Linked DNA regions of Kluyveromyces lactis. The protein of the gene in region 2 binds, or shares a complex with, the protein of the main gene of each other region. Links are inferred from orthologs where the notes say so. Each region holds a gene or a part of one and is shown on either strand. Other genes may lie near its edges.

Evidence for each region. Proteins that work in one complex are often made in the same cells at the same time.
Region 1: SLH1 (region 2) and CUE3 share a complex: the UniProt entries of both Saccharomyces cerevisiae proteins name them as parts of the RQT (ribosome quality control trigger) complex. The link is inferred for Kluyveromyces lactis from reciprocal best matches to the Saccharomyces cerevisiae genes SLH1 and CUE3.

What each region holds. Positions count from the first base shown.
Region 1 is NC_006042.1:973,511-977,102, reverse strand, and holds CUE3 (Cue3p), read right to left. Parts: upstream 2,385-3,592; coding exon 501-2,384; downstream 1-500. Other genes in the region: ribosome biosynthesis protein NSA1, read left to right, coding at 1-405; VHC1 (Vhc1p), read left to right, coding at 2,650-3,592. UniProt on the Saccharomyces cerevisiae protein: Involved in activation of the ribosome quality control (RQC) pathway, a pathway that degrades nascent peptide chains during problematic translation.
Region 2 is NC_006037.1:863,918-868,221, forward strand, and holds the start of SLH1 (RNA helicase), read left to right. Parts: upstream 1-1,504; coding exon 1,505-4,304. Other genes in the region: JNM1 (Jnm1p), read left to right, coding at 194-1,276. UniProt on the Saccharomyces cerevisiae protein: Involved in activation of the ribosome quality control (RQC) pathway, a pathway that degrades nascent peptide chains during problematic translation.

The DNA of each region.
Region 1 (3,592 bases), on a different chromosome or scaffold from region 2:
GAGCTTGAATTCTTAGCAGCAGACTCCAGAAAAGATGTGTACCAATTCAACGGCAAGGGACGCTTGTTGAGAAAGATTGCCAAGGGCGACATTACTGGTTTTGCATCTTGCATTGCTGTTACCGATAAATACTTACTTCAAGGTGGTTTGGACAGGTATGTTCGTATCTTTGATTTAGCCGATTATAAGCTCCTGGCAAAGATATTCACAGGCGGTAAGGTTTCTGATATTATACTCTTAGAAGACAATGACTTGGAATTACCTTTAACTGAAAAGCAATTGAAAATGAAGAAGAAGAAGGAAGCCAAAAGAAGCATCGTCGAAGCTGATGAAGATGCTGAAAATGAGGATCTTTGGAATAAATTAGAATCCAAGAAAAGGAAAGTTTCGAAGAATGATATTTAAAGTAAATGCATTTCATAATATCTACAGATAAATAGGAAGATACAGGATAATCGACTTCAATTTTCGTAAATGTATCTATACTGGTCTAATGTTCATCATAAAACACCACTTTTAGCTAACTTTTTATCGTGTCCCGCTTTTCTATTATGATTAGCACGACTTGATTTTAGTTTCTCGTTACGAGCATTTTTTCTCTTTTGTTGTTCTTTGGTAAGAGGTTCTTTGGTAGTAGGTGTTTTCTCTCTGCCAGAATCATTATTACTGTTAGTGTTAGGTGAATTTACGGTGCTGTCAACTACATGATGATCAAAACCTTCTTTATCCTCTCGTGCTTTTGTAAACGTCTTCTTGCCTTGCCGAACGTTCCCTTTGAAAATATACTTTTCTTCTAGCAGTTGTGCCCTCTTTGGACTCTTCTCAATCATTCTTGACCAACCTTCAATTTGTTCGTCAGACCAGTTAGTCTCTTTCTTCATTTCTTTCCGCTGTTTCGAGCCCCGTTGCTGACGGGAGAAAAGATTTTTATCCCTTTTCAATAATTCCCATAGATATCCTTCAATTTTATCGTACTTAGATGTGCCTGGTGTTATGGTTGATACCTTTGCTGTGTCAGAAGTATCGACGCTTACACGATCTGCAGAAGCTTGCTTAACTTCTGCATCGTCGTAGGTGTCATCCCTTTCATCTTCTGTGGCATCATATAGAAGGGATAAAGCTCTTGATAATGTTTTGTTTCTGACAGCATCAGGTACGTCGTTTGTAGGGAATAACATGTTTTTCTTTTCAATTTTGTCCTTCGGAGTGATGGCTGGCAATAAATTCTCCTTCGGCTTATGTTCCTCCATCAGGTTTTCGGTCGTATTCTGTATTTCGTCATCCTGCAGTGGCCCATCTTCGAGTGAAGATATCACAGATGGATTTTCAAACAAGTTATTGATTATAACTTCCGTGTTATTATCATACCTCTGCAATAATTTTGTTATCTGGTTAGAAGTAAGGTCCGGAAATAGTTCCTTGATTGTGTCTATTTGTTCAACATTGACACTAGGCATTAGCAGACCGCTTAAATGGGGAGCTGCCTTCGGTTCCTCTTGTATATCCAAAAAGGGGATTTTAGTTTTAATATGTGGCAACTTTTCCTGAAACCTGGCATCAATTAGAAGTGACCCTAAAAGTGGATACATTGAAAGTGTTCGTAAGTTCGTTATGCTCATTTGCTTTAACAAATCAGCCAAATGTGTGACGCTGCAGGACAAAAAGCTTAATATTCCAAGTTTCTTTCCCCAATCTGATAAATAACTCCCTGGTTCCTTGCCATACATTGACTCTAATGTATCAACCCACTTGGCAGACACAAAATTATCTGTAAATGAACTCTTCGCCTTATCATCAGCAGCTAAAAGCAATTCCAGAGACTTTAAATCCACTCTACTAAATTTATTGGCTTCTATCAAATATCTTATATGTTGCTGTATCTGGTACGTCCTATCCAATTGTGCTTTCTGAGTATTAATGGTCGGTCTTAAAGATCCTTCGATCAACGATCTGACAGTGGTTGCATTTCCCTCGACGTAGGACCGTGTTATGTCCCATAGAGACTCTGTATTCAACTTCAAGTATAGTAGCCCACAGCTTTTAATCAACTGTAAAACGTAAGCTCTTAAAAGCTCTAATTGCTTCAAAACATCTGCATTAATTCCCAAAGAAAGAAGTTTTCCTTCTTCTTCACTCATTTCATGCACATAAGCCTTAACGAAAATGCATAGATGATCAATGGTCTCATCACTGAGAAAGTCTAAGTTGTCACCATGTAATAAATAACTCATATGTTGCACATAAACTTCCAGCAAATGGAGCCATATCACCGGATCTTTCTCAACCATCGCCGCACGTAGCTTAAAAGGAGGGAACTTAACGATCGCCAGAGATATTTTCTCTTTGGCATTTATCTCCAAAACCCTCTGGTATCTTGTAGTCATCGTTTTCGTTGATTTTCACCTGTTAGATGGTAGTTCTGAGCATGCCTGAATGCTTCAAACATGATCGAACCATATCCATCAATCTCTCTGCATTTCAAATCTCTTCTTGCTCTATGGTGAAATTTCAAAAATCTTTCAAAAATGATAGACCCTTAAAGGAATTCGTCAAATCAAGCAAAGATAAATAACGAAGCGATAAAAATATTCAGATTAGCAGTGTTTTCAATGGCAAAGGTAACGACAGTAGTGCACTGTCACCACACTGATGTCTAAGTTCTATGAACTACCGGGTTCGCACCTTCCGTCACAATCAGAGCGCTCACCGTTGCTTAAGAGAAGGTCGAGTTTAACGTATTTCAAATATCAAGACACACCGTTACAACAAGAACAATCTTCAAAATATGATCTAGAGAATCCCCATAGAAATAAATTGGGAACATTCGATGGAGTATTTATACCCACTACGTTAAATGTGCTCTCAATTTTAATGTTCTTGAGATTTGGTTTCATAATAGGACAGATGGGTATTTTGGGAACATTTCTATTGTTAATCTTATCTTTTATCATTGATGTATCAACCACATTGAGCATTTCAGCTATATCGACCAACGGTACAGTGAGAGGTGGTGGTGCATATTACATGATTTCACGATGCCTAGGTCCTGAATTTGGAGGTTCTATTGGTCTTATCTTTTTCATTGGCCAAATTTTGAATAGTGGTATGAACATAGTTGGTATCGTGGAACCGTTGTTATACAATTTTGGTATCTCGGAAGGTGTGCTAACTCAAGTACTTCCAGAAGGGCATTGGTACCAATTTGGATACTCTACGGTTTTGCTTCTGTTATGTCTGGCGGTGGCTATGATTGGTTCACAGACTGTCTCGCGTGCTGGTAACGTTCTATTCTGGTTGCTATTGGCTTCTACAATCTCGATTCCTATCTCTGTTTTATTTGTGAAGCCTTTCGAACTTAATGGAATCGTGTACACAGGACCGTCTTTACAGATACTCAAACAAAATCTATATCCGAAGTTTACAAAGGGTGCAGCAGGCTCGGTGTTGAAGGGTTACGAAACGTTCAATGATCTATTCGGGATTTTTTTTCCAGCTACGGCAGGAATATTTGCTGGCGCCGGTATGTCCAGTGAATTGCGTAAGCCTTCCAAATCCATACCTAAGGGAACCCTTTGGGGCCTTCTGTTAACCT
Region 2 (4,304 bases):
AGTAAGTCACTCCATTTTCACTTCCCAATGTAATATATTGTAGTGTATTGATTGAAAAGAACTAAATTCGATTCTAAGGTTTCATATCTATGAAACTTATTAACTATTGAACAGTTAAAGATCACAACCCGATTAGGGACCGATATATGGGACATACTAGCGCACATTCATAACTAGAGACCGGGAATAACTCATGGCTGTTGAAATAATCGATCTATCTACTGAGGTGGAACAATTAGGGTTACAAGGCGATACAGGGAAAGAAGTGTATGAGACCAGTGATGTTGAAGAAACACCAGACCAAGTAGTGATTACCGAGGCAAATGAAGATATAATTGAGGAGGAAATACCTAAGGTTCAAGAGAATAACGAAAGGTTCGAGCATTCTGTGCTAAGTTCGGAGGATACCGATTTTTCAGGAAAACTATACGCACTGCCGACGTATAATATCAGACATATAAATGAAACAAGAAGGCAGAGGCTGGCAAGGATACGGAGGGAGCTCCTTGAGATAGAGCAGGATTCCGAGGAGGATGGTTCCTCAAACGAATTACAGAACTTGAAGCAATTGTATGAAACGTTGGCTCAGTCTACGGAAAGTACAATGGAAAACATACAAAGCCAATTGGTCATAGCATCAGACGAGGATACAGAAAATGAGGTTACACTTCCAAACATCAGGATAGAAATCAACCAATTGAAGCAGCTGGAGGATATTGAGCATAAGATTTCCATATTGGAGTCACAAATCGGACCCTCGAATACGAATAAATCGATAACGTCAATCATCAATGAACTTCACAGAGAGATTAATATCCTCAAGTTGGATGAACCGACGTTGACTGGATTCCAAAATAAAATGAAAGAGATAAGTGATCAGTATGACCAGTCGATCATCGGAAGGAGAGCTCAGAAAGACCCAAATCTATCTACTGATATCGAAAGGAAGTTAAAATCTACAGAATCTAAGGTCAATGACATTTACGATAAGTATAACATCTTAAACAAGTACTCGGAAGTGATTCCACAAATCACAGAACGTGTACAGTCGCTAAACGTTCTACATACCTCTGTGAATGACATGAACGATACGGTATCTGAGATTAACGATCATATGTCTTCAGTTCATTCTCAGATCGAAAAATGGTCATCGCTCTTAGAATCCACGTCACGACAGCTTACCGACAGAGAACAATCCTTCAAGCGGACTAGGCATCAACTAGAGTTACAGCTCAACGATCTAGAGGTGAGAATAGGTAAATTGAGTGGCCAATAGCGTTTCTATGGATAGTTAATACTAGTAGTCAGTAGCCTTTTTTTTTATAGCTCATCTCTTCGCATTGTTAAAAGTGCACAAGAATCATAATTCGTAATCTTTAGCAAAGAACACCTTTTAAGTTGACTTTAACACAAGAAGATCAACGTAAAGCCCATATTGGAAAACCGTTACAGTCGTTATACTGTAGTTTGGCTATAGGGTTGATAATATTAATCTTTGTACAGGATGAGTACGACTTATTCAGTCCATTCCGTGGGCTCTTATATGAAGGCGATGGAAGTAATGGTTTCAGCAGCTCAGGCATTCCCTCATCTAGATACAAGCACAATCCCTAAGGTCGATGAGGAATTGAAGAAGGGTACTAAGCGTAGTGATAATAGAAATAAATTGTTGGTAACTTCTCAGGATAGGAATGAATGGGATGATATATTTGAAGAGTTTGCAAACCTTTCATCTGATAACTTACAATCGTTGATTACATCCAATCATTCAGCTTCTAATGCACAAGCACAAGTATACAAAGAGCTATTCAGACTACTTGATAATGTTGATTCTGATTTCCCTCGAGATCAACTACTACAGCAGTTGATCGAGTTGTTGAGGAACAATGAAAATACTGGAACTGCGGACCAAGATCTCTTCGATTACCTAGGTGCTGAAAACATCGAGCTGATATCGTTTCTAATTGAGAATCAAGAGATATTGAAACACACTCCGATTGAACATATGTCTAATTCGGATACTTACGAGGGAAACCGATTCATGACCGAAGAGGACATGAGAAGACAAGTCCTCAAGAATAGGGAAAAAGGTAAAAACGCTAAATTGGCTACTGCACAAAGAAAAGTAAAGTATCCACATGTCTTTAGACAGTCGGAGGATGCTGGATCGTCAATGCTTTCTTTTGCAGGTCAAAAATTTGCATTACCAGCTGGAAGCATGAGATATACTTTCCAAACACATGAAGAGATAACAATTCCATGCGCTGTACCGAAAAGAAAATTCGATATTCCATTGGTCAAAGTCAGTGATTTGGATGAATACTGCCGTAAAGTATTCGAGTATGATTATTTGAATAAGGTACAGTCCTTGGTTTACCCGGTAGCGTACAATACAAATGGTAACATGTTGATCTGCGCTCCAACTGGTGCAGGTAAAACCGATATTGCTTTATTGACTATATTAAATACAATCAAACAATTCTCCGTCATAAATGAAGAAGGCGGGTTTGACATTGAATATGATGATTTCAAAATTATCTACGTGGCTCCACTTAAGGCTTTAGCAGCTGAAATCACTGACAAGTTTGCTCGTAAGCTATCCGTGTTTGATGTCAAGGTTCGTGAACTTACAGGTGATATGCAACTAACGAAGCGAGAGATTCTTGAAACTCAAGTCATTGTTACAACACCTGAAAAATGGGATGTGGTCACACGTAAAGCAAGTGGTGACAATGACCTTACTTCAAAGGTGAAATTATTAATTTTAGACGAAGTTCATTTATTACATGAAGATAGAGGGTCAGTCATTGAAAGTTTGGTGGCACGTACTTTAAGACAGGTAGAAAGTTCGCAGACCATGATCCGTATCTTAGGTTTATCTGCTACCTTACCGAATTTCGTAGATGTTGCTGATTTCTTAGGTGTAAACAGGAATGTCGGGATGTTCTATTTCGACCAGTCTTTTAGGCCCAAAGCGTTAGAACAACATTTGATTGGTTGCAGAGGAAAAGCAGGAAGTAAGCAATGTAGAGAAAATACCGATAAAGTTGCCTACGAGAAGGCCGTAGAAATGATGAAACTTGGTAATCAAGTGATGATCTTTGTGCATTCAAGAAAGGATACTGTAAAAACTGCCAGAACACTTATAAGTATGGCAAGAGACAATTATGAGATGGATTTATTCACAAGTAACGATGCTTCCGTAACAATATTTCAAAAGGAACTTTCCAAACATAAAGATAAAGATCTTAAGGAGTTATTCCAATCAGGGTTTGGTGTTCACCACGCCGGTATGTCACGTTCAGATCGTAATATAACAGAAAAAATGTTCAAAAGCGGAGCCGTAAATGTACTTGTTTGTACAGCTACATTAGCTTGGGGTGTCAATTTACCTGCTGATTGTGTCATTATCAAGGGAACCCAGGTTTATGACTCCAAGAAAGGTGGTTACACTGATCTTGGAATTTCAGATGTTATTCAGATCTTCGGTCGTGCTGGTAGACCAGGGTTTGGTTCTGATTATGGTACTGCTTACTTATGTACTTCAAACGACCGTTTAGATCATTATGTCGACCTAATCACGCAACAACATCCTATTGAATCAAGACTAGGTGCTAAGGTTGTCGACAACTTGAATGCCGAAATATCTCTTGGAACAGTCACGAACGTTGAGGAAGGTGTGAAGTGGTTAGGATATACTTACATGTTTGTCAGGATGAAACAGAATCCTTTTACTTATGGTATTGATTGGGAAGAGATCCGAAATGATCCGCAATTGTACGAGAAGAGAAGACAAATCATCATAACAGCCGCCCGTCGTCTACATTCTCTACAAATGATTGTTTTCGATGAAGTTTCAATGCATTTCATTCCAAAGGATTTGGGAAGAATTGCTTCCGAGTTTTATTTACTTAATGAGTCTGTCGAAATCTTTAACCAAGTTGCTAATCCAAGGGCTACTGAAGCAGATGTGTTAGCCATGATTAGTATGAGCAGCGAATTCGATTCCATCAAGTTCAGAGAAGAAGAATCTAATGAATTAAATAAACTTCTTGACTGTGCCGTTGAATGTCAGATTTCTGGGGACGTCGACAGTTCACCTGGTAAGACAAATATTCTTCTACAAGCGTATGTTTCTCAAAGCAGAATTAATGACTCTGCACTAAATTCAGATGCAAATTACATTGCTCAGAATTCTGCAAGAATATGTAGGGCATTACTTCTAATTGGTATTAATAGAAGATGGGGCACGTTTTCAAAAGTTATGCTAGATATATGCAAGTCCATCGAAAAGAGAATGTGGG